Coturnix japonica: one gene and its partner. The protein of the gene in region 1 purifies or fractionates together with the protein of each later gene. This does not show direct contact. Links are inferred from orthologs where the notes say so. Each region holds a gene or a part of one and is shown in the gene's direction. Other genes may lie near its edges.

The links.
Region 2: the proteins of AATF (region 1) and NOL10 purify together in Homo sapiens (affinity purification with mass spectrometry; 4 studies listed by BioGRID and IntAct, counting the BioPlex papers as one, with this or other methods). This does not show direct contact. The link is inferred for Coturnix japonica from reciprocal best matches to the Homo sapiens genes AATF and NOL10.

What each region holds. Positions count from the first base shown.
Region 1 is NC_029534.1:7,138,868-7,143,211, forward strand, and holds the start of AATF (protein AATF), read left to right. Parts: upstream 1-1,326; 5' UTR 1,327-1,377; coding exon 1,378-1,462; intron 1,463-1,705; coding exon 1,706-1,894; intron 1,895-2,459; coding exon 2,460-2,867; intron 2,868-3,379; coding exon 3,380-3,517; intron 3,518-4,344. UniProt on the Homo sapiens protein: Part of the small subunit (SSU) processome, first precursor of the small eukaryotic ribosomal subunit.
Region 2 is NC_029518.1:88,401,939-88,406,340, reverse strand, and holds the start of NOL10 (nucleolar protein 10), read left to right. Parts: upstream 1-1,424; 5' UTR 1,425-1,492; coding exon 1,493-1,558; intron 1,559-1,968; coding exon 1,969-2,014; intron 2,015-3,074; coding exon 3,075-3,173; intron 3,174-4,004; coding exon 4,005-4,082; intron 4,083-4,402.

The sequences.
Region 1 (4,344 bases):
TGCACCTTCTGCTTTGGAAACGTCTGTAACGTATGTGGAAGAGCCTTAATTTCACATCACGGCAGCAACAGCAAATATAATAAAACACCTCAAATATAATGCAGAGAATCAGAGCTGTCACTCAGACCACGAGAAAATAAATACAAAATAAAGTTGAAATGGAACCGTAAATACTTGACTGCATAAAATCCAGGGGTTTTGTTTGTGATGATAACGTGTGTTTCCAGTGAGTTTCTATATAACTAGAGATGCAGTCCTCGCAGCAGCAGACGGTAATGCACGGGTTCCTAAGGAGCCGAAGGGCACCGGAGAGGGGGGAAAAGGGGCGAAGTGCCCCCCGGGCTCCTCCTGCGGGTGCCGTGCGGGCCGGCAGGGAGCGGGAGCCGCCGGGCCCGTAATTAATGATATTCCTCTGCCCTCTGTAGGACGAGCGGCTGCACTGAACGCTCCTGCTTCGGGGGAACCAACCTGGATCCCGGAGCCGCGGAGAAGCGCCGGGCTTGGCCTGAGCCTTCCCGTGCTCTAATTAGAATGCATGTCGGGATTAATCTTTGTAACATTCAGAAGCAGAGAAGTGGTGAGGGCGAGCCGTGTGCTGGCAGGAAGGGGATGAACGAACCGCCTGCTCGATGCAGTTGAACTTTGCAGCATCACAAACCTGCCGGTGCCATCCCAAACAAGGGGTCCCAATAGACCTCCTGGGGCCGCTCCTGGAGGGGTGGGAGCTTTAAGCCCCCACCTACAGCTCACGTTTGAGGTGCCGACCTGGGTCCGTTCTCACTGCCCACAAGAGATGCACCGCCCTCTATTCCCAGCCACCATTTCCAGGTGATACGTTGTGTTTGGGGGCTGGGAGGGGGTCACTTATCCCACATCGCTTTGCTGGGGTCCCACACGAAGCTGCAGGTGCTGGATGCAGCAGAGCCGTGCCAGGTGTGGGCAGTGCCCTACAGCCCCCACTGCTCACATGGCAGGGGTGTGCAGACTGGGGGTGGAGGGGGGAAGAAAAGTAGTAGATATATAGATATATATTGAGTTATATAGGACAGCTGTGCTGTAAGAGCCCATCATTCTCGTGCCTTCCAGCACTCAGCACATATGAATTCTCATGACAGTAGCGATGGAGGCGGGTCAGCCCGGTGCCGGGGGGGGGGGGGGGGGGGTTCGGATGGTGGATTTCGGTTCTTTTATGGCGGTTGTTTCCGCTCGAACCACCGCGTACTTTAACGCGGACAAAGAACGAGAGGGGGCGGACACGGCTCGACGGAGACCACGCCCCCAATTGAGACCACGCCCACTATGAGGCCCCGCCCACTTTAGGCCACGCCCCCTCTGGGCCCCGCGCGCCGCCAGGCCCCGCCCCCTCCGCTCGGCAAGATGGCGGCGCCCTTAGCGCAGCAGCTGGAGGAGCTGCTCAATCCCCGGCCCGACCTGCGAGACCCCGAGGATGACGCGGAGGAAGGTGAGAAGGGGTCGGGGAAGGGCTCCGTGTGGGCGGGGGGCGGCCTGGGGTAGGATGGGGGAGGCTACTGGGCTGCGGGCCGAGGCTGCACGTGGAGCCGCCGCCGTGAGAGTGGGGGGGGGGCACGGTACCGGGTGGGCCCTAATGAGAAGCTGCGGCCTGAGGTGTGCGGGAGGGTGGGAGAAGCGGCGATTTCTGGCCTGAAATTCAGTTCTGTTTATGTATTTGTTTCCTTTCCTACAGCCACAGTTGCTAAAGTGATCGACAGGTTTGAGGATGATGCTGCAGATGAAGTTTTACCTGTTGGTAAGATACGGAGAAACGCTTCGGCCGCCCTCTTAGAAGCTGATAAAAGGTACAGTGGGAAAGCGACATCTCGGAAAGCCTTGAGGGAAGAGCTGTGGGGAGATGCGCTGTCTGAAGAAGGATCTGGTAAGGAATCTTAGTTCTTTATGCTTTTAGTTGGGATACTTATAGTTTTGGCATGCTAGACCAAATTAGGGCTGTCTCAACTGAGATGAGAAGCTTTAAGTCCACGGTGGGGGGTTATAAACAGGTAGAAATAAGTTGGGCGTCTTTTTGAGGTGCCTTCTTGAAATTCAGGCCATGTTTTTTGATCTGAAGGGAAAGGAAATCCCCCATTGAGGTCTCCTTCTTCAGGAGGAGGGGCTGGGAATAACCTTGAGGTGAGGCTGAATGCTGTGTGAAGGGAAAGAAGTAGTTGTCACTTTAAGGCCAATATATCTCGATGACTGCAAGCACATCTCATTTTAAAGACAGATACATAAAGCAAATTATGAACACCCGTTTGATTACCATGTCACTAATTATTGTTATAGAAGATAAGAACTAAGATCTTTTCCTGGGTATAGACTCATTTACTTATTTATCATTAATTGGTCAACATGAAAAATTAAACCAAGTTTAGTGCTCAGATCAGTACCCATCGTTGTTGCATACGGCAGAGTGACAGATGTTTTTCTCTTTGAATTAATAGCTGCAGAAGCCTTAGATGAGTGGTACAGCGGCAGTGAAGATTCAGAAGACAATGGCAGTTTGGGCAGTAAAACAGAGGAGCAACCCAGCAGTGCTGGCAGTGAGCAGGAGGATAACCTGGAAGATGATGGGAGGGATTCCTCTGCCAAAGCACCAAAGTTCAGTTTCCAGAATGTCACAGACTTTGAGAAATTTGCAGAGGGGATGGATGATGTTGGGAGCAGTGATGGAGAAGATGAAGATGATGCCAGCATGGAAGAAGGAAGCGATGATGAGAAATACGAGGGGGAAAACCATGACCACGTAAAAGACGCCACTGACAATGAGGATGATGGGGGGGTGATGACATTCTCCAAAGGACAAGCGAGCGATGAAGTGGAAAAAGGAAAAGCGGTGAAGAATCAGCTGGGTTAGTGCATGTTTGCTGTGTGTTTTGATGAGATTCACCTTGCTGACACTACAGACGCTGCCCGTGACAGGAGACACTGCAGCATTTTAACTTGCTGTTGGTGCAGTGCGTGTGCAAGCTACAGCAGCCTGTGTTGTTTGCAGATGTTGCACTAAACGTGCTATGCACATTGATATCACCGCTCCTACAAAATCTCATATTATGGAGTATACTTCTCTGCTGGCTTAATTGAACCCACACTGAATGTACTTGTAGTTTGGGTGGGAAGGGGGACTTTACACTGTTAGTTCTGTGCTGTGGTGCTATCTGCTATCGTTCTTCAAATGCTGAAGTTTCTTCCAGTCTATTCAGTCAAGTTACCACTGTCCATTTACAAGTCCATTCTAACCAGTGAAGACAACGGAGTTTTTGTGGTTCTCAGGGTTGCAGTCAGGATCACAGATAGGATGGGGAAGGAGCAGGTGCTTTGGCTTGTGAAATAACTTCTTTTTTCCCCCCTTTCTCTTACGAAGCACTGTGGGATCACATCTTGGAAGGCAGAATCAAGATGCAGAAGGCACTTGTAATAGCCAACCGGCTTCCTCAGCCAGATACTTTCCCCCTCTTCAGAAAGGAAGGTGGACAGGAATTCGACAATGCTGTGGAGAGCTGTAAGAATTCTTTTAACTTCTTACTTTGCATAGAGTCTGCTGTAGCCGGTGTGTTTTTTATATGTGTGAGAGAGCATTAATAGGAAAGTGAGGGCTTTGAGCCACGTGTGTTTGTAGCTGTTAGTTTATATTGCCTTAATCATTAATGAGTGTATGGGAACTGCTGATGTCTGTCTATGTCTAACTGATCTCCGACAGCCTGTGTTGTCTCTTATGTGATGTTGGTGAGCCTCAGCTTGGGTCCTGCTGCTGTTTCTGCTTCATGTGGGTATTGAAGTTCATTTATCTCTTCTGTGCTGGTTCTTAAAAGTAAATGGCTTGGTTATTGCTGCTTGGTGTAGAGCTGGGATGCTTCTTTGTCCTGAGACACTGTGTAGATAGCAGTTCTGTGCTGGGTCTGTGATTGCAATGATTTGCCCTAATCAGGAGTAATGCAGCACAAAAGAGAAGGGCCTGTGCTGTCAAAGCAACAGCAAATATCACTTCAGTTTGGAGCTGCTTCAGATGTTTTTAGGATCGTTGTTAATGATACTGATCTGATGAGACTTGTAGTAGATTCTTGAACATGGTAAGTAAAATCTGCGTGCTCCGGCTGATAAACACAAGGTGCTCAACTTCATCTGTTTAATTTATTAATGCTTCGGTTTGTATGTGCAGAACTGATACCTGTGTGTTTGAGAAACTTTGACTTAGGCTGCCATGAGTTACCTTAGAACTACATCAAGAACTTCTGCCATGATCCAACCTGACTGTGGGCCTTACCCCTAAGCCAGTGTTTGACTGTTATCTTCCAGCTCACACCTGACCTGAGCATGTAGCTAATCAGC
Region 2 (4,402 bases), on another chromosome or scaffold:
TGAATGGACGTTGTTTAGTACCATAAAAACAAGTAAAGATTACCCCCATTTTGCTTACCATCATGTTGTTTCAAAGCACTGTATCAATAGCAAATTTTCATGCTATAAAACGAGGAAAAGCAGGCAAAACTATGTGCTCCTTGTTGAAAATGTTCTTTATCACTCTTATTTGAAGTCAATACACCTAACCGCCCAACTCTATTCACCTGAACTGAAAGCCTAAAAGTGTTACTATTGCATGTAACAGATATTTGGGGCACATATAAAGCAAAAAGCTTTGTCAGAGCTTCAGTTACATCACTCAGATTCAGACTTGTAGACAGAGGTATTTTATTCCTTTTTGTCTGCTGTATGGTCACTGAAATATACCTAGAGTACTGAAGAAGGGATCAGGAATCCTTCCTCACCCAAAGTCATGTATCTCCTCAGTATTTCAGAACTTCATGGGTTTTAAACCTCTGGGAATTTTTCATTGTTTCAGTCCTCCTGACCTTGTTGAGGTGTCCTTGTGTCATATCAAACAATTGGGGAGGATGTCTGGGATTCCTTAAGAAGTCCTGAACTGCAAGAGGCACCTAATATGTGGGCAAATGGATTCAGCCTTTGTATGTCTGTTAACACCTAGCGACAGTCTTAGGAATGAGTTGGTAGAACTTAGAAACAGATTGAATTCACCCCGAAGTAGACACCAGGTGGATACTGTGCCACACTGCTCCTCAGGCTTCATTACTGGGATTAACTAGGTATGCAATTCAGCTGCCTGAGCTTCTAGTGCCATTTGAGATGTCTTCCAGCTCACGCCACATAGCACATGGGTTTTCCACAGGTCTTGTGTCACCCCATCTAGGTGTCCTGGATACCACGAGGCAGCTCAAATGCCACCAGACAATCTACATTTAGGTGAGTGAAGCCTTAGCTCCCTGAAATGGGAGCTTTGATATATCGTACCCATGTAGACACCTACATTTAGGTGTTCTGGTCTCAGCTATGGTCTCAATTCTAACGCAAAGCGGGAAGTGGTGATATTGGTATTATATTTGCTGAAATACATAATTAAAAGCATCAAGAAAGACATGGAGGCCCCAGAGAGTGCACAGAGAATGGGCAACAAAGCTGTGAAGACACTGGAGCATAAATCTTATGGAGAGCAGCTGAGGGAACTGGGATTGTAAAGTCTGGAGGTGGCTGAGGGGAAACATCGCTCTCTACAATCACCTGAACGGAGGTTGTGGTGAGGTGGATTTGGCCTCACCTTTCAGGTGACAGAAATAGGATGAGAGGTAATAGCTTCAAGTTGCACCAGGAGAGGTTCAGGTTGGATATATTGTTTTCCTCCTAACCCCCCAGCCTGGTGCCTGCCCACTTTCAGAGCCGGCCGGGAACGGGAAGCTCAGCCAGCAGCACCGCCCATCCACTACGGAGTGCTGCCGGGTCGGAGCCCAGCACGGCTTTCCGCTTCCCCTACGGCCCGGAAGAGGTGTGTGGGATCGCCATGCAGGTCTCCAGCCTCAACGAGGTGAAGATCTACAGCCTGAGCGCCGGCAGGAGCCTCCCGGAGGTGAGGGGGCAGCCCGAGCGGCACGGAGCCTTGAGGGGGGGCGGGACTGACGTGTGGGCTTCTCCGCAGCCCGCTCTGCGAACACTGATTCTCTACTTCTTTTCTCGTTGAATCTCATCACGTTTGGGTTGGAAGGGTCCTCAGAGCCCCTCCATCCCAACCCTCCTGCTGTGGGCTGGGTTCCCCCAGCAGATCAGGCTGCCCAGGGTCCGCTCAGTAAAGAATTGCCTCCCAGCAGTTTATGAGCTCCCTTTAGATACTGAAAAGTGGGATGATTATTCTTACTACTGGGATTTTTAATGTAATTAAGAAGAAAGAAGTGATCTTTCAGGCAGATCCTAAACTATAACAGTTCTCTGATTCTACTCATGTGCTATAATGTGGATACTGATGCCTGTATTTCCTTACAGTGGCTCTCAGACAGGAAGAAAAGAGCACTGCAGAAGAAAGATGTGGGTGAGTTTTCACATCGCAGCCCTCTGCAGAACAAGGCTGTACACATCTGATGTGCTAATCCAGGAGTAGGCAGTTTGCTGACTCAAGGAAATCGTGCACAACTTATTTTAATAAATACAAGTGTGGTGGATGCATCCCACAAATGTTTTATGATCAAATCTAGCTGTAGACTCCTGTGTATGTATTAAGCTCAGCATAGAGGGCAGCTCTGTGATTTTATCGTGTCATCATCATCATAGAATGGCTTGGGTTGAAAAGGACCACAATGATCATCCAGTTTCAAGCCCCGTGCCATGTGCAGGGTTGCCAACCACCAGACCAGGCTGTCCAGAGCCACATCCAGCCTGGCCTTGAATGCCTCCAGGGATGGGGCATCCACAGCCTCCCTGGGCAACCTGTTCCAGTGCATCACAACCCTCTGAGTGAAAAACTTCCTCCTAATATCCAACCTAACCCTCCCCTGTCTCAGTTTCAAACCATTCCCCACTGTCATATCACTGTCCACCTTCATAAGCAGTCATTCCCTCTTGTGTTTATATGCTCCCTTCAAGTACTAGAAGGCCACAATGAGGTCTCCCTGGAGCTTTCTCCAAGCTAAACAAGCCCAGTTCCCTCAACCTTTAAATTTTACTCTAAATTTGCAATATCAAAGGAGATGTTTACATACCATCATGAGCACTGTGTAAAGCAGCCAACTAAAAAAATATTCATGGAGGTAACAGCGTGATGGAATGTATTGTATATCTTTGTTGTGTAGAATGTGTGACTGTTTTGTGAATGTGAGGTATAATTTGTCACATGGTTAGCACCTCATTATAGACATCTATTTGGTATGGTGATAGCTGGCATCTCAGTGTTAGTGTACTGCATTGCTCTCCTGGCCTATGTAAAAGACAAAGATGTATCTTAACAAATATTCATTTTTATTCAGTGAACTCAACATACAAGAAATAAACATACAAGAAACTCAACATATAAGAAATGATTTCATTATTGGATTGATAATAGTACTAGCTTTACAAATAATCTGACTTTATATGTATTTCTTTTTCCTTTGTAGATATCCGTAGAAGAATTGAACTTATTCAAGACTTTGAAATGCCCACAATTAGCACCAAGATTAAGGTATCAAGAGATGGACAGTATATTATGGCAGTTGGTGAGTTAACTAAGGATCCCGTGGTAGCAGAGGCCAAAGTACTAATAATGTTTTATCACAGAATATGACAGGTAGAAGATAAAGGGTTTTTAGTTTTGTTTATTTAATGAAGCATTGAATGTAATTGTGGAATCCTACTCTTAAGATGTGATGCAATGAGTGTTTGAGTACTTAGGTTGAGAAACGCTTAATTTTCAGCTGTATTAGAAGAATACCAATCTTATGAAAACAACAACTTGTTTGTTTTTATAGTATGTTCATAGAATATAAATCGTAGAATCATAGAATGACAAGGTTGGAAAGGACCTACAAGATCATTTAGTCCAACCATCCTCCCATTACTGTAGCTACAGCAAATCATTAAACCACATCTTGTAGCTCCTCATCTAGATACCTCTTGAACACTGCCAGGGATGGCAACTCCACCACCTCCCTGGGCAGCCATTCCAGTGCCTGACCACTCTCTGAGAGATAAAGTTCCTTCTTATGTCTAGTATAAACCCCTTCTGGTACAAACTTCCTTTAAATGACTATTGAGTATCACTGAGTGTTTTTTTTTAAGGATAGAGGATAATGCTACATTTTGTAACTGTTAACTGTTAGAGTGAGATCCTAACATGATTACTTCAGTAGCCCTAATGTCACGAGGCTTGGTCTTTCAGTCTTACTGGAAGGTAATGTTAAGTTCTGTTACTAAGAGGCCTCTTTTTCGTTCACAGAAACATAGACGTAGTGAAGAATATATACGTAAAACATCATATATTTTTTATAAAAGGGTTAATGTTACCTTTTTGTTTAACGCTTTTATTAAAAATCAAATTCTTCTTTCAGGAACTTACAAACCAAGGATCCGCTGTTACGATACTTATCAGTTATCCCAGAAATTTGAAAGGTGCTTAGATTCTGAAGGTTAGTATAAGCTGTGGCTGTTAGTAAGAGAAATCTTCTGTCTACAGTTGCTGCTCTTTCTGGGGAGTGCTGTGTGAGTGCGTGATAGCAGGCAGTTCTCCCTTCTGTTCTCTTCCCACTGTGAAGCAGTGGGGTAGGAGAGTGCTCTGTGGTTGCTCAGTTGTTACTGAAATAAGTTCTTGTGTTTTCTCACTGTGGCTCAAGTCAGTTAAAGAGAATTCCTTGATTTGGTTTGTATTATTCTTAATTATTATTTTTAGACACAGGTGGTAGCAAAGGTAAGGCCCCGATTTCACATTGTTTGCTGTTCACATTGTTTG